Oreochromis niloticus: one gene and its partner. The protein of the gene in region 2 interacts with the protein of the main gene of each other region in a pairwise test. Links are inferred from orthologs where the notes say so. Each region holds a gene or a part of one and is shown on either strand. Other genes may lie near its edges.

Region 1 (7,559 bases), on a different chromosome or scaffold from region 2:
ACAAAGCTAGAGACCCAAACAAACAGGCATCAAGTCATAAGTCTCACCATGTTAGGATCAATTAGGAACTCAGCTCTTAGTGACGTCATACAGAGCTGAGAGGAAATCTTTAGCTGAACATTTAGATAGTATAGATAACTATAAAGGACAAAAACACATCATAAGTCTCTCTTTGAGATGCAGGGACTTTATAAGGTTGGACTCTGGCACAAATATCAGGCCTTACACTTTTGAAATGTAGCTTAGTCAAAAATCCAGTGACTCAGTTGTTCCTTAGCAACCTGCCAGGCCCAACCTGTTGACGCAGAGCTCATTCAACAAACACAGTTTGAATACCAGCAGAGAAGAAGAGGGAGGACACCCCCCCCCAAACAAACAAAACGAAACGAAACAAAACAAAACAACAAAAACAAAAAGTGTGCTGGGTTTCTGCTCCCGGCTGTGACTCGTTTTTCTGCGGCCGCAACTCTATGACTGCAGCCATCGAGGCACGGTGATCAGCTATATGTCGGTGTGCATTTCCCCTGTTAAATGAAGAAAAACAAACACGCAGTCTAGCCTGGTCTTCTTGCTGGGGAAGGAACCGCTCTCAGCATGCTGCCATAAATGAGAGCCTTGTCACTGTGAAGGTGGTGATAGGTTGGGTTGGTGGAGGCAGAGGGGGTACCCAGCCTTTACAAAACACTGAGATATTATCTCAAAGAAGTATATGTGTGTGTACAGTATAAGCTCTCTTTTCTCCCCGCTCCGCCTGTCTTCTTCCTACAAGCTCACACGCCCAGCCTCAGGCAAAGTTACCTCAACAGTAAAAAAGAAAAAAAAAAGAAGTGAAAAGTGAAAGCATCATTAAAACTGCTTCTTGCCTGCAGAGGCAGGCAGTTAACCATCTGGTGTTTCCATATTCACACTGTCAAATACAGAACTTCTATGTAAAAGCAGCAGCAGGACAATATTAAAAGAAGAAAAAAAGAGGACAAAACACCATGACTGAGTCAGTTATTCTGCTCAGATTTTCCCATGTTTCACTGTTTCCTATTAGGCAATCGGGCTGAAATATAGCTTGCGGAACAAAAGTCCGTCCTACTTTCCACATAACTGGTCCAAAAGTAAGGCACTGGTGCTGTAGCTCCCAAGCTTGAAAATTCCATTGCTACTCTTCCTACTTTAAACCTTTTTAGTCTAAGGATAAAGCAAGTTGCAGAAAGAATTAAGGTTAGCTCTGGGTGTGTAACAACTTTTGTCAGGTACATTTGTTTCTTCCAAGTAGTTATTTGATTAAATCAACGTGTAATTTGATTAAAAGCTGAGAATTGAGTAGGAGCTACTCAGTCAAGTCTGAGTCTTGAAATGCGGAATTCAAACATTTTTGTCATACCATAGCCATCCATGAGCATGCACACAAAAGGAAAAGAGTGACTCATTCAGCATCTAGCCACGCAGATGAATATATTCCATAAACAGACGTCAAATACCCTACTTTTCTTGTCTTGTCGTGGCGCATCCACTCAGATGTAGTCATATCATAGCAAACATGTATATAAAAGCAGTCCAACAATGGGATGGTGAGTCATGGGTTAGTAGGTGTGTGTGTGTGTAACAGGGAATGAAAAGCCTTCTGCGTCAACTATGCTCCATTGACTCTGACCACATGACCGAGGGAATTCCAGCATATCTCTGCCAGATATTCACCGAGGGGCAGCAGATGAGGCAGCGGAATGCTCATGTGACAGATGACTGTATGTTTTTATGATAGTCACAATAACGCCTGACATGACAATGATGCATGCAGCCACGAGAAGGTGCTGCTCCTCAGAAAGAGGCAAAATGTGTACATTTGATACCTTAAAGCTTTTCCACCATACATAAATAATTAGTTAAAGGGTGTTTCGAGCCTTGAAATGCCAGCAGCATCCTAATGTGAGAAAAAAAATCCTCTGCAGTATTACATAACTCTATAGCTTACTATTGCCAGGGGCCAAGGCATATGAACATTTCCCTCTCTGCCTACTACTCTATGACCTTCTTGGCTGCTGACACACTTTTGACTCCGGCTGTGCTGAAATTGATGACTATCAGTGGCTGACACTTTAACGTCCAAATATGGGAGGGGGAGGAAACATCCAAAAATCCAACATAAGATGATTTTTTATTGGAAATAAGCTCTCCAGTGTGTTTTAAATAGATCCAGTGTGTCATATCCAGCTTTTTTAGAATATTATATCATTTCTTTCTGACTTCCTCAGACTCAAGTGTTGGTGGAAGATGGTTTTCACTGGAGACATAAATAAAACATTTTGAATGGAGCTGTGATTCCGTTGCTAGGATAAACCGCGGAGGGGAAACCCTTCAAGGACTCCCGGAGGTCCTTGAACCCACGTTTGAAAACTCTCACTGAGCAAGCTGACTGACTTTGACTTCATTTCGGCACAATGTAACATCATCAATACAACTATGCGGCACTGCAGACGCGTAGTAATGTAAGGTAGTACCAGCTGAGTGACATAAAGCAGCTACAGGCTGTGTACTGCGCACTGTGTAGTACTACTTCCACAACTGAGACTCAACTGTAACACTGAAAATCACTCATTTCACTCCGGGAAGTCTGTCCCGAAAAAGAGTTATGAATAGATGAGAGCAACGACAAACAAAAACAGCGAGCTCTCAATGAAATATTTAGTGTCACCCCCACCCAGTCTCACCCTCTTCCTCCCGCGCTATTACACGACAGCAGTTTTCACCTCGAAGCAGAGTGAGAGACAGACACAGCAGCGAAACAACCCAGCTTTCCTGCACTTACCTCTGGAAGATATTCCACAGGAAACCCTGGTCCGGAGGAGCGTTGATGTGTGGGGGGGCTCTGTACGGACTGTGGTACGCCATTTTTACACGGAGCTCTCTGTCAGGTTTGCACAAGTATAGCTCGTGTTTCCTCCTCCTGCTGTAGTTTCTGCTCTCAGTAGCTTCAATCAGACTCCACCACCCTGACGTTCACGTTACCGCCTTCCTCCCTCGCGCAAAGAGGCGTGGCCAATCATTCAACACTACCCATAAAGGGGGGTGACATCACAATTTCCTCTCATTTTCAGCTAAAGTGAAAATAGAAACCTTAAATTTTTAAGTAGCTGTAAGTGTTGGTAAAATCACCTCTAACAACAGTTTGTCAAATTATTATTTTTTTATTATTTTAATACTGAGTGTAAAATTCACTCAGTATTTCCAGGATTTTTTTTTAAATAGGGTGAAACTGGAAGGATCCAAGAACCAGTCCAGAGAAGTTCCTGGAAAATCAGCAACATTCTCTGAGAAATAAAAGTCAAACAAAAGCATTTGAAAACTGACTCACAGTTCAGTTATATTGATTTTAATGTGCACAGAGCGCCTGTCTTCATATTAGGACTAAGAATAGGAATAACTTTTCAACATTACATGATTATATATTGCATTACTTATTACTTAATAAATTATAGAAATGTTAGCAGCAAAAGCATAATTAAAGTACCATTCTCTGAAGGAGGATAATTTTGCTCTAAAGCTATATTTTTAATCTTTATCAAAATAATGGCATGATAACTCAAGAAAACTGAGCTTTCTATACTTTCCTATGCTATGCCATTACAGTCTAGGTGCTATATTTTACATACTGTTTAGTAACTATGAAAACTTTATATAAAATTTTTTAAATATCTTTGAGATACTAGCAAGTATAGAGATAGGGAACATACAAATATACATGCATGTGCTACAGTGCTATTTTGCATTATGACACTTCATCTGTGCTTGGTTGAACTGTTGAACATACAAACATAGGTATGCTCCAGGCAGTTATATTATGATTATAAAAATCCATAAATATAGTCAGTTTAAATACTTTGCATTTAAAGTTTTAGTGTTTGTAACTAGTATGGCTGTGAAATAAATAAACCAAAAATAAAAACAAAAAAATCCATATGCTCACAAAGGGAGCAGAGTTATATAATATTACATTAAATGGGAACAAGTAAACCCTAAACCCATATAGTACTTGAGTACTGCTATCAGTCTTAATCATCAGTTTTAGAGTAATTTGATGCCCTTTTTAACTGTATAAAATATTAAGGCTCTATGTTAGTTTTTCTTTATACGGGTAAAATCTAACAAAACTACTCATCTTAAATTTATTTATGCAGCAATGGATTTATTTTTAGTACTTGAACGCATCATGGGTGTTTACTATCAATGTCCTGAATCTGAAACCGGATTGGTGGAGCATGATTTGAGGCGGGAAACCGAGACTCAAATTTCGGCAAAGATTGGTGTTTTAATCTAGTTCCTAAACTTGGTCCTCTTTTCTTTAACTTCTTCCATTTTTATTGACAGGTAAGACAAAATGTTTTACTACCCCAATGTGCTCCAGCGACATTCTGGATGTTTTTCCACAATTTGGTGAGTCTACATGTTGCTTCAAAGCCATTAGCAAGAAGTCCTGATGGACATTACCTCCCGACTAGCTAACTGTTATGTCTAAATTTTATAAATGCCTTTTGTTATTCAGGTTAGCAGCCACTAAAGGCATCAGGGTGACCCGCAGAGAGCTTCTGAGAGTCAATGTCAAGCGGACCTGGTATGAATGTGCACGTTTTTGTATAGCAAGGCTGATAAAATTGCTAAAAGTAGATTAGCAAAGGTTTAGACTAGTTTAGGTTACTTAGTTCTAACTTAGCACTTAACTACATCTCCATTAACCAGTAAATTGTGCAGCTAATTTTTACTGTGCACATTTAATCAAGATTTCTCTGTCTCATTTTGAATGTTTACAGCGGGGAGATTTTGGACTATGTGACTGCACAGGTTCCTCCACCACAACCCAGCCTGCCCAAGCCTCGGTTCTCTCTGTACCTGTCCTCTCAGCTGCAGTATGGAGTGGTTGTAGTCTACCACAGGCAGTGTGGCTTCTTGCTTGGTGAGGAACAAACAGAAAGACAGCAGAAACAAGAGAAACTGAAATCATGTGATCAGCCATGACATTCCTCTGCTTTGCCTACACGTTGCCCTGCAAGTTGAGTCACTGCAGTAGTTGTCAAATTTGAAAGTGTATACAAAACACTGAGGAGATGACTAACATGGATTAAAAAATAAATGGGAATCATTTCATGGTAGCTTGCTTATATAGGATTAGCAAAAAAAGGGAGTTGGTTGGCAAAATGATTTTCAATTGAACCAAAAAAACCCAACAAAAAAAACACTAACTCAAATAAACCAAAAGCAAAAACAGAGCAGCTTCATTATTTTTCATGATTGATGTTAACTGGGAAAAAAAGCCCAGCTTGTTTATTTTATGCAAAACACATCAGACAGATTGTGTTTGTCACCTTCTCTCCGTATCATGAAAACTGTTTTGGTGCAAAAACCAAAACAATGCTATCATCCCGGCTCCCACTGATAAGTGTGATTTAGAAGCCAATATGGAACTGATGAAAGCAACATCATCAAACACAGCACAACAGTCTCGATTCATCAGGTCTCAAATTGCAGCCTGACGATGATATTGCATCCGACAGATTCGCAATCATGCTGCTGTCATGGTTGATGAAAACGGTGAAACATAATGCAGGATGATCAGCAGGAGGAGAAGCCAAGAAAGCAGCCATTGTCTGCAGTGGCATTTAATTTCACCCACCAGTACAATAAAACCTCCAAGTGTGTGGGTATGATGTTTATATGGTATTATTAAGCAGGGCTTAGTGGAGTTTGGTATGGTCATGGTAAAATGGGACACAAACATCCTCCATGCTCATTTTTATGTGTCCAGACATCCATTTTTTGTAATATGCTTATTCAGTTGAAGGTCCTGTGGGGCTGGAGGCGATCCTGGCTTTGGGGGAGAGGTCGGGTACATCCTGGACAGGTTGCCAGTACAGGCAACCTAAATACTCTTACGACTTTTTATCAATGAGGATGTCAAATTCACATGTTAGCTTGAAGTGACCTTTAGTACATTTGTCACTGTTAACTTACATGTGATGCCTCTTCTTGCATCTTTTTTTGTAAGAGTCGTGTGCATAATTTTTCTGTTTTCCAGAGGAGGTTCAACAAACCATAGACCGCCTGCTGCGCTGTAAAAGATGTGTACCTATAGACATGGCTGAATCTGGCAGGTCTGTGTATGCACGCACAGTGTGCTAATCCACAGGGGAAGAAAATTTTGTCTCTTGGGGCATCTGAAAAAAAAATTAGCAGAACTGTCAGGAAGTTTTAGCTGTTTGGGGAAGTGTGAGCTCACAGGCTTGTTAAATATTTATGAAATGACAAACAGATTGTTTGGAGTAATAAACAGTAAAATGGAGAATATGGTGTTTAAATGAGTGGACAAATGGTTCCCCTTTCCTTTAAATAGCTTCATCAATGTTTCATAAGCCACATTATGGAACAGCAGTAATGTTATGCACTTTGCTATTAATCCATTTTGTGCAATATGAAGGAGCTCTAGTCTTATTCCAGTGATATTTTATATTATTAGAAACAGCAAATTCAAAAATGTGTGCAGTGTTTTAATATGTTGAGTAATAACATTGGTGTATCATACTGTAGGAATGCTTTGGATATGCCTGACATCCTGTACATGATGGAGGAGGCAGAAGGAGCGCAGGATCCCTTCTTTGGTATCATGGAATCTCAACACCTCCCCAGCCCATACAAATTACCCCAGGTACATACAGCCACCATTATACACCAATATTATACATGCATGCCTCTGTAATATGTCAGGTAAGCTACAGAGGGACTGCAGTCATCATCGCCAAGGACCGTGCTTGTCATAGCAAGTGATTGCTCCGTAAGCATGCAGGTGAGAGGCAGCAGTAGCTGCTACTGCTACAATAATGATTAGATTTACCATGAATCATAATAATAGAAGTTTGCAGGATTTCACACATGCAGGCAAACTCCTGTTTCCAAAAAAATCTTCTGACTTGTAAAGATCAGTTCAGTGTTGAGCTTCATATGCAAGATTATTTGTGACATTTGGTCCTTATCCTAACACACAGACAAACATCTGATGTCCTGAAATTGTGACTGGTCAGAGAAATGCAGAACTTACTGTTATTTCGTACAGTTTTGTTTGTTTGTTACCACAAATTACACATGCACCATTTGCTTGGATTATTGTTTTATAGTAATGTTTACAAATGGACTTTGATCAGTGTTTGTTGATCAATGGTCATGACAATTAGCATATTAATGATCAAGGAGCTGACCTCACAGCCCATGGTTCATTCAGTGGGCTGGTTTCAGTTATTGTGCAAATGTACTGTTTATAAGGTTGGGGAAACCTCCAGTCAGCTGAGACTGAAGAAGTCACTTGGATGAGTGACGAAACGTTTCTCGCACTAAAAAACGCTACGTCCAGGTGAACAGAATCAACCTTTGGGGGTTTACAAACCTAATTTCAAAGAAGTTGGGTTTGAAATAAAATGGGGGAAAAATGCAGTGATTTACAAATCTCATAAAACCATATTTTATTCACAATAGATCAAAGAAAACATATCAAATGTTTAAACTAAGAGATTTTACTATTTCATGAA
Region 2 (6,914 bases):
ACAAAGAAATTAATCTTCTCTTTACTTCAGTGTGCAAAAGTGTGCACTGACTTTAACAGTCCTGCACAGTGGCTTACCTGGAGGTGGTGCCTGTGGGTATCCTCCAGCCTGTGGTGGGTAACCTCCAGCTTGAGGTGGATATCCTCCTGCCTGTGGTGGGTAGCCTCCAGCTTGAGAAGGATAGCCACCTGGCTGTGGGGGGTAACCTCCTGCTTGGGGAGGGTAAGCTCCTGGCTGTGGGGGGTAAGCACCTGGTTGTGGAGGGTAAGCCCCAGGCTGAGGTGGGTATCCTCCTGCCTGCGGGGGATATCCTCCTGCCTGAGGGGGATATCCTCCCGCCTGAGGGGGGTATCCAGGGTAGCTCATTGCTTTAAACATAAAACAGAACAGTCAAAGGGATGCCTACCACACAACATAACCTCTTACAAATAATAAGAATCTGCAGTATTATTATCATTTTGTGCAGCTGCCTCCATTAAAAAGTACATCATCTGTTGAAAATGAAAAAGTAAAAGATCAAACGTTTATGTGAACTGCACCTTTAAGTAATACGCAACTGATTCAGTGTGCATCGGATTTCTAAACAGAGTCATTATAGTTTTGCATTTTCAAATGAGGTCTTATTATTTACTCTAACAAGGAGCAGAAAACGGAAGATGAATGTTACGTTTTTGGCTTGACTTTAATTTTGCTTAGCCCCCCCGGAGCCAATTTGCTCTTTCAGTTTTGCCTTTACTGTTTTATATATTACTGTAGTTTTTATTACTTTCAGGGTTTTTTTTTATAATTATTATTACATATATGGTATTTCCACAATGTAGTGGTTTACACATTTAACACTAGTTAACAAGCAAAATGTCCCAATTAAATCGATCAACCAGTGTAAAAATCTGCCAAATCAAACATGTGAAACTAACAGCTGTAGTGAAGGGACCAGCTGAAAGGATCTTCTGTTACGTGGAGGTTCTTTGTCAGAGGCAAGACTTGAATTCCTGGATATTAGTTAATTATTTAGCATTACAATAAAGCACAAGACTTTGTGAAAACAGTTGACTCACAATGTGCGTCTAAGTCTCCAAAAAAAAAAAAGTAAAACTAAGTACATTTCCTCATTTTTTAGTTAGTTTTCCCTCAAAATCTATTTTTCTTGTACATTTTACTTACCTTCAGTTGGCATTACTAGCAATAACTTGTGGTGTTGTTAACACCACATTTAAAGTTTTAAATCTGTATGCTTTTTGTTTGTAATCTTTTGTTGAAATGCACTTCTGACCTGTGAACCTATAACTGTGAAACGGTAATAACTATGTGTTGCTTTGGTGTTGCTGGTTTGGAGTGTGCGGTTACACTGTTGCTGCTGCTGCATGTTAAAATCGTGTGAATTACTATATGAGGCAAGTTCACACATTTACAACAAAAAAAATAAAATAAAAGTTTTTAAAATATTTACAACACCTCAGTAAAGTACGTTAATTTTGCTGCTTTTCTGAATTGAACAATGATGCACTTTTATTGGCTTCTGGTCTAATATTTGTATAATGCTTGTTTGTTTAGTGACACTGCAGGTTTTATAGCCGATTTATATCCCTGACCCCAAACAGTCTTTCACTGTTAACTAAGACATGCACAATCATTTTACGTTTCTTTCTTCCTTTAATATGCATTGAGCTAGTCTTTTTCTAGTCACCATTAACTTTTACTAATGTAGCAGTGTAGAGGTCATGGTCATGGAAACCTAATGAGGGACAGACTCTTCATTCCATAGCCATGTGATCACAGATACTTTTAGCTCAGTGGTGGAATGGTAAGGAAACTTTCATTTTGGTTAGGCGTAGTATGAAAAGCTTGTCCTCCAGCAGGCCCATTTATTCCGTGGTAAAACTGACTCCAGTTGACTTAACTGGAACAGTCTTCACTGCTTTTATGCACATAGGATGAAAACAAGCTGCTACTGCATCTGAATAAGCACACAGGGCAAGAAAGATACCCAGGGAAATACAGAGGTAGAATATTTCATCATAAAAACAACACAGTACACGTCATTATGTTAAACTACTGCTAATGTCCAGCTCAGGAACACTGATGCTGAGTATTAAGGTTAAGGTCTTCATGTACAAACATGAGTGAATACGGTTTAGTTTCAAATCTGTCTTAAACACATTTAAATGTTGTTCAGGGGGAACACATCTGACTGGTTTCCCCTCCAAATTGTAAGCAGAGTCACATCACGTAATACATCTCCATATATGTTCTTTTAAGGGTTTACGGTCTTTAAAAAAAGTGACTGTTAATATTGGGAAATCCTAACATCCGCGATTCACTCGCTTTATAACTTAGGCGACTTTTGGACCGGTTAAACATCGTAACCAGTGTTATAATGTACTAAAAATCTACTATGACAGTCCTCGGAAACAAACCTTTGGCTCGCTAATTATAAAATACATGCCATGCTTGGGGCCTGTGTTAATAATTTTATAGAGCTAGCAAGTTAAACTGGCTCCCAACTGTATTTACATAGAGTAGCCATATCCGTCTAATCCATTGAAGGCTCGCTCGCTTCCCGCATTTAAGCTAACTAACTATAAATAAATATAACAAAATATAAAGCATCAAAAACGAAACTACGACCTGCATGTGTACTTTCTAGCTTTCCTCGACTGAGCTAAAGGCAAAGGTATGTCTGTAATAACGTTGACAGAGCAGCTAGCGACTGCTTCGAGAAGACAAGCAGCTCGGTAAACGTCAAAGCAGCAAAACGCCTTAAAAAAACGACACCACGATCCAGCTCAGGTATAACCTTTACTAACCTACCATGCACCGCTTTAGTCTGTGTAAGAAGCTGTTTTCGCTTTTAGCACTTACTTTAGTTTTCTTGCAGTCTCTTCCTGGAAGCTTGTATTTCTTCGACTATCTTGGTTGTATTTAAGTGGTGTGGGTGGGACGCAGAGTTTCCATTGAAGGTTCCCACCCATCTCTCTCTCTATAGCCGTCCTCTGTGACAACGCCTATAAAAAAAATGAATTCACTGTTGGACGTATATGTGACCCATGGTGACTTAATGGAAAACGTGACAGCTATTATTTCACAAAAGGTATATTGTTTGACTGATGTGTTCCTGGAAGGTAAGAATATCTGAGTGTATAACTGAGTTAATCCCCTTTCTTTGTACATTTCTTTTTATTTTCTTGTAGCTAAAAGAAAATGTAATGGTTAATGTATCTGGCAGTAATAAGTCTTTTAGCAATTTTTAAAAGAGAAAATGAAATAAAATACAAATATTAGGAAGTGAAACCATGCTGTAGGCCTGTGAACATATACAGCCAAAAAGAAAGAAAGAAATGAAGACATGACAACCAATTCTGTTCTAAAGTTTTACTTATCAAGATAAGATAAGATAAGATAACTCTTTATTGTCATTGCACAGTCATACCTAGTACAATAGTACAATGAAAATGGAAACTGTCCCACGTCGAGACTAGGTACAACTAAACACAACAAAACACAACACAAACAGTAACAACACAACACAGTAACTTTAAAGTGGAGTGATAAGCGCAAGAAAGGTATAAGCAAAAAAAAAAAAGGAATGACTTCATAAATAAATAAAAGAAATGAATGAATGTTTCTTGCACATTATTATTATTGCCCTCCAAAAAAGTCCAGGGAGGTAGCCAATCAGGTCAGCTGTTAGCATTGATTAGGGCTATTGCCCTGTTGTAAAAGCTGTTCTTGAGTCTGTTTGTCTGTGACCTAGGCAACCTGAATCTGGGCAGGAGATTCAGGTTGCTGAGGTCACTTAAACACCCGGTGTCTTGGGTATGTGCAATCCTGTAGGATGCTGCGTGCCCTCGTGAGACAGCAAGTGCTGTACAGGTCCTTCAGGGAGGGAAGAGGATGTCCAATTATTTTTTTCAGGACATAATGATAATGATAGTCCCTACAGTGGCTCCTCCACATGGCCATATGGGGGCCACTAAAAATATTGGGGTGGCACACCAAATGTTTTAAGTTTTCTATTCCAGTTTTATTATGCTATTGTCAAGTATGGGTTACATGAAAAATGTGACAAAGAGGGAGGGGGAGAGAGAGAGAGAGAGAGAGAGAGAGATTTCATTTTTTTCAGCAGCATTTCTCTGTTGTTATCTCTGAGCTTAAATGTGCAGTTGAACCAGTGATAGATAAGCAGATAAGCTTATCTGGCCCACTTAAGATTAAAGTGGGCTGTATGTGGCCCGTCATGTAAAATAAGTTTGACATCCCCACCTCTGCCTCAGACTCCTAAATGTTAAAGTTCATGTAAAAAGTACACTTAGAAAAAGACTGAATAAGTATGGTGTGTTTGAAAGGTTTGCCAGCACAAGGCCTCTTGTCTCTAAAAAGAAAACATTAGCACGGCTTAGGTTTCCGAAGTTGCATCGGAGCAAATTGAAAACACCTGGAACAATGTCGTCTGCACAGATGAGAACAAAGTGGAGATGTTTTACCACAATGTACACTGCCACATTTGGCAAAAACCAAACACAGCATATCAGCACAAACAACTTGTACCAACTATAAGCTTGGTGGTGAAGGCGTGATGTTTTGGGCTTGTTTTGGAGCCACAGGTCCTGTGCACCTTGCTGTCATTGAGTCGACCATGAGCTCCTCAAGTATTCTGGAGTCAAATGTGAGGTCATCTGTCTGGAAGCTAAGGCTTGGCTGAAACTCGGTCATGCAATAGGACAATGACAGCAGCAAATCTACAACAGAATGGCTTAAAAAGTAAAGAATCAAAGTGCTGCAATGGCAAGGTGTTGGAAAATCTAGACCTCAGCCACACTGAAATGCTGTGGCAGGAAAGCTGTGCAGAAATAAATGCTTCCAAACTCCAATGAACTCAAGCAACACAAGGAAAGAAGAGTGGGCCAAAATTCCTACACATGTGAGAGACTGATATAGTAGCACAGAAAACATTTACTTCAACTCATTGCTGTTAAGGGTGGTTCTACAAGCTACTGAATCACAGATTGTACTTAGGTTTTCACACACTCCTTCTGTGTTGTGGCTTAGTTTTGATGAAATAATGTTACAGTGTAATATCACATGTACTACTGTTCATCTGACGTTGTATTTCATTAATTTTAGAACCTGGTTAGGTCTATTTGTTTTATTATCGTGTCATATGCACCTCAGAACTGAAATAGCTTTTCACATGACTCTATTGTAAATGTATGCACATATGGGAAACATCTGTTAATATAGTTTATATATGTGACTCATATTGCAGACGTAATTTAAGTCTGTGAATTTAAAAGCACAAGATAAAATTGGGTTTTGGAAAGCAGTAGTCATACTTAAGAGCCAGAATAACCTCTCTAGGAAATGAATGCCAGTATCTTCTGGATTCATGGATATATGCAGGGATTTTTGCCACAAGAGGGAGCTGTTTTTAAGGTTTTCTCCATACTCCGCTGCCTTGAATCTGCGGGTTGGCTGGAAGCTGGGACGTGCTCGACAGAGTGTGCCCCCAAAGAGTCCTGATAAGCTGCACAGTTTATTGATTTCTTAACCGCTGGACTAAATGGTATAAAGTTATCCAGGTTTTTCTTTATAGCATATTAATATGTGTTTTCGGAATGTGGCTGAATGACATAAAGAATCATGGAGGCCTATTTCCACACAGAGTAGAGAAATAGTAAACCATATATATTAGTAACTAGGTAAATAATAGAATATGTACACCGTCTTTATACAGCAGTTACTCGGTTGTATCGTGAATGACTCCTGGAACAAACGACGCGCTGATTGGCTGCTGGTCCTCGGTGACGCAGAGCCGCGTTCATTGCATATTCAAAGAGCTTCTCTCTGCCCCGCCGCAATAAAGGCAGATAGCGGACCATGGGGAGCAGGGGAAAACTTTTTATACTGACATGTTAACGCCATGACTTTTGAGTAACATCTAAGTGGGACGAGGCTCCCGGCGTGAGGAGGACAGGGCCTTTTACAGAAAGAAGAAGAAGAAAAGGGAACACTTGCCATCAGTTTGGGGACGGGGACGGGAAAAAAGCAAGATTTGAGACGAGTCCAGCAAAAAAGAAAAAAAAGAAGCGGTGGAAATCCAGTTTGGACATTTGAATGGAAAGATGAGCTTGCTGTCTGCCATAGACACGAGTGCCTCCGTGTACCAGCCGGCTCAACTTCTCAACTGGGTCTATCTCTCCTTACAAGACCCCCACCAGACCAGCGCCTTTGACGCGTTCAGACCCGAACCCAACTCTTCCCACCCGGATCTCAATTTCAGCAAGACTCCCGCAGCGGCGGATTTGAGCTCTTCCCTGAACTCCAACTATCTCAACAACTTCTTCCAGCTGCAGCGAAATGAGGTGAACTGACGGCATGCTACGTACAAATCCGGGATGTCTGAGGTTGTGAGACTGTGGCTGAGTTTAGAGAGAGTTGGCCGGTGTTAGTGTTGCTTGTCTGGGCAGCAAATGTTTGAGCATGCAGGTTGCAACACGGGCTATTCTGGTATAACCGCCATGATATTTTTAATATGGACAAAAACCTAAAATAGTCCGATGAAATAAACATTTTTGGGGAGATTACTTTGAATGTAGCTCTATTGCTATGTGCAGATCTAAGTCTTTTACATAATATAAAACGATTGTGTAGGCTTCTGTGTATATGATTGCAATACTAGAAGGGCAAAATACACCAGAAATACTCAGTAAATATGTCACTAACCCACTCATGGATTAAATACTTATGTGAAAAATTAAAATTAATGTGCAATCTTTCAAGATCTAAATATCACACAGCTCATTTCCCTCCCCCAGATGACATGATTACACATGAAGAGGTCTGCTTTCAGCATATTTATAAGTTATGGCTCAAAGTTAATGTGGTGAGGAAAAATATGTTTTAATCAGAGAGGC

Evidence for each region.
Region 1: the proteins of anxa11a (region 2) and pdcd6 interact in binary tests that used the Homo sapiens proteins (3 or more experiments, as listed by UniProt). The link is inferred for Oreochromis niloticus from reciprocal best matches to the Homo sapiens genes ANXA11 and PDCD6.

The regions. Positions count from the first base shown.
Region 1 is NC_031974.2:23,973,708-23,981,266, forward strand, and holds the start of pdcd6 (programmed cell death protein 6), read right to left. Parts: upstream 3,022-7,559; 5' UTR 2,881-3,021; coding exon 2,798-2,880; intron 1-2,797. Other genes in the region: rec8b (REC8 meiotic recombination protein b), read left to right, coding at 4,367-4,422, 4,532-4,600, 4,797-4,939, 6,059-6,134, 6,568-6,685. UniProt on the Homo sapiens protein: Calcium sensor that plays a key role in processes such as endoplasmic reticulum (ER)-Golgi vesicular transport, endosomal biogenesis or membrane repair.
Region 2 is NC_031978.2:16,479,156-16,486,069, forward strand, and holds the start of anxa11a (annexin A11a), read right to left. Parts: upstream 3,009-6,914; 5' UTR 2,863-3,008; intron 369-2,862; 5' UTR 367-368; coding exon 78-366; intron 1-77. Other genes in the region: zcchc24 (zinc finger CCHC domain-containing protein 24), read left to right, coding at 6,123-6,362. UniProt on the Homo sapiens protein: Binds specifically to calcyclin in a calcium-dependent manner. Required for midbody formation and completion of the terminal phase of cytokinesis.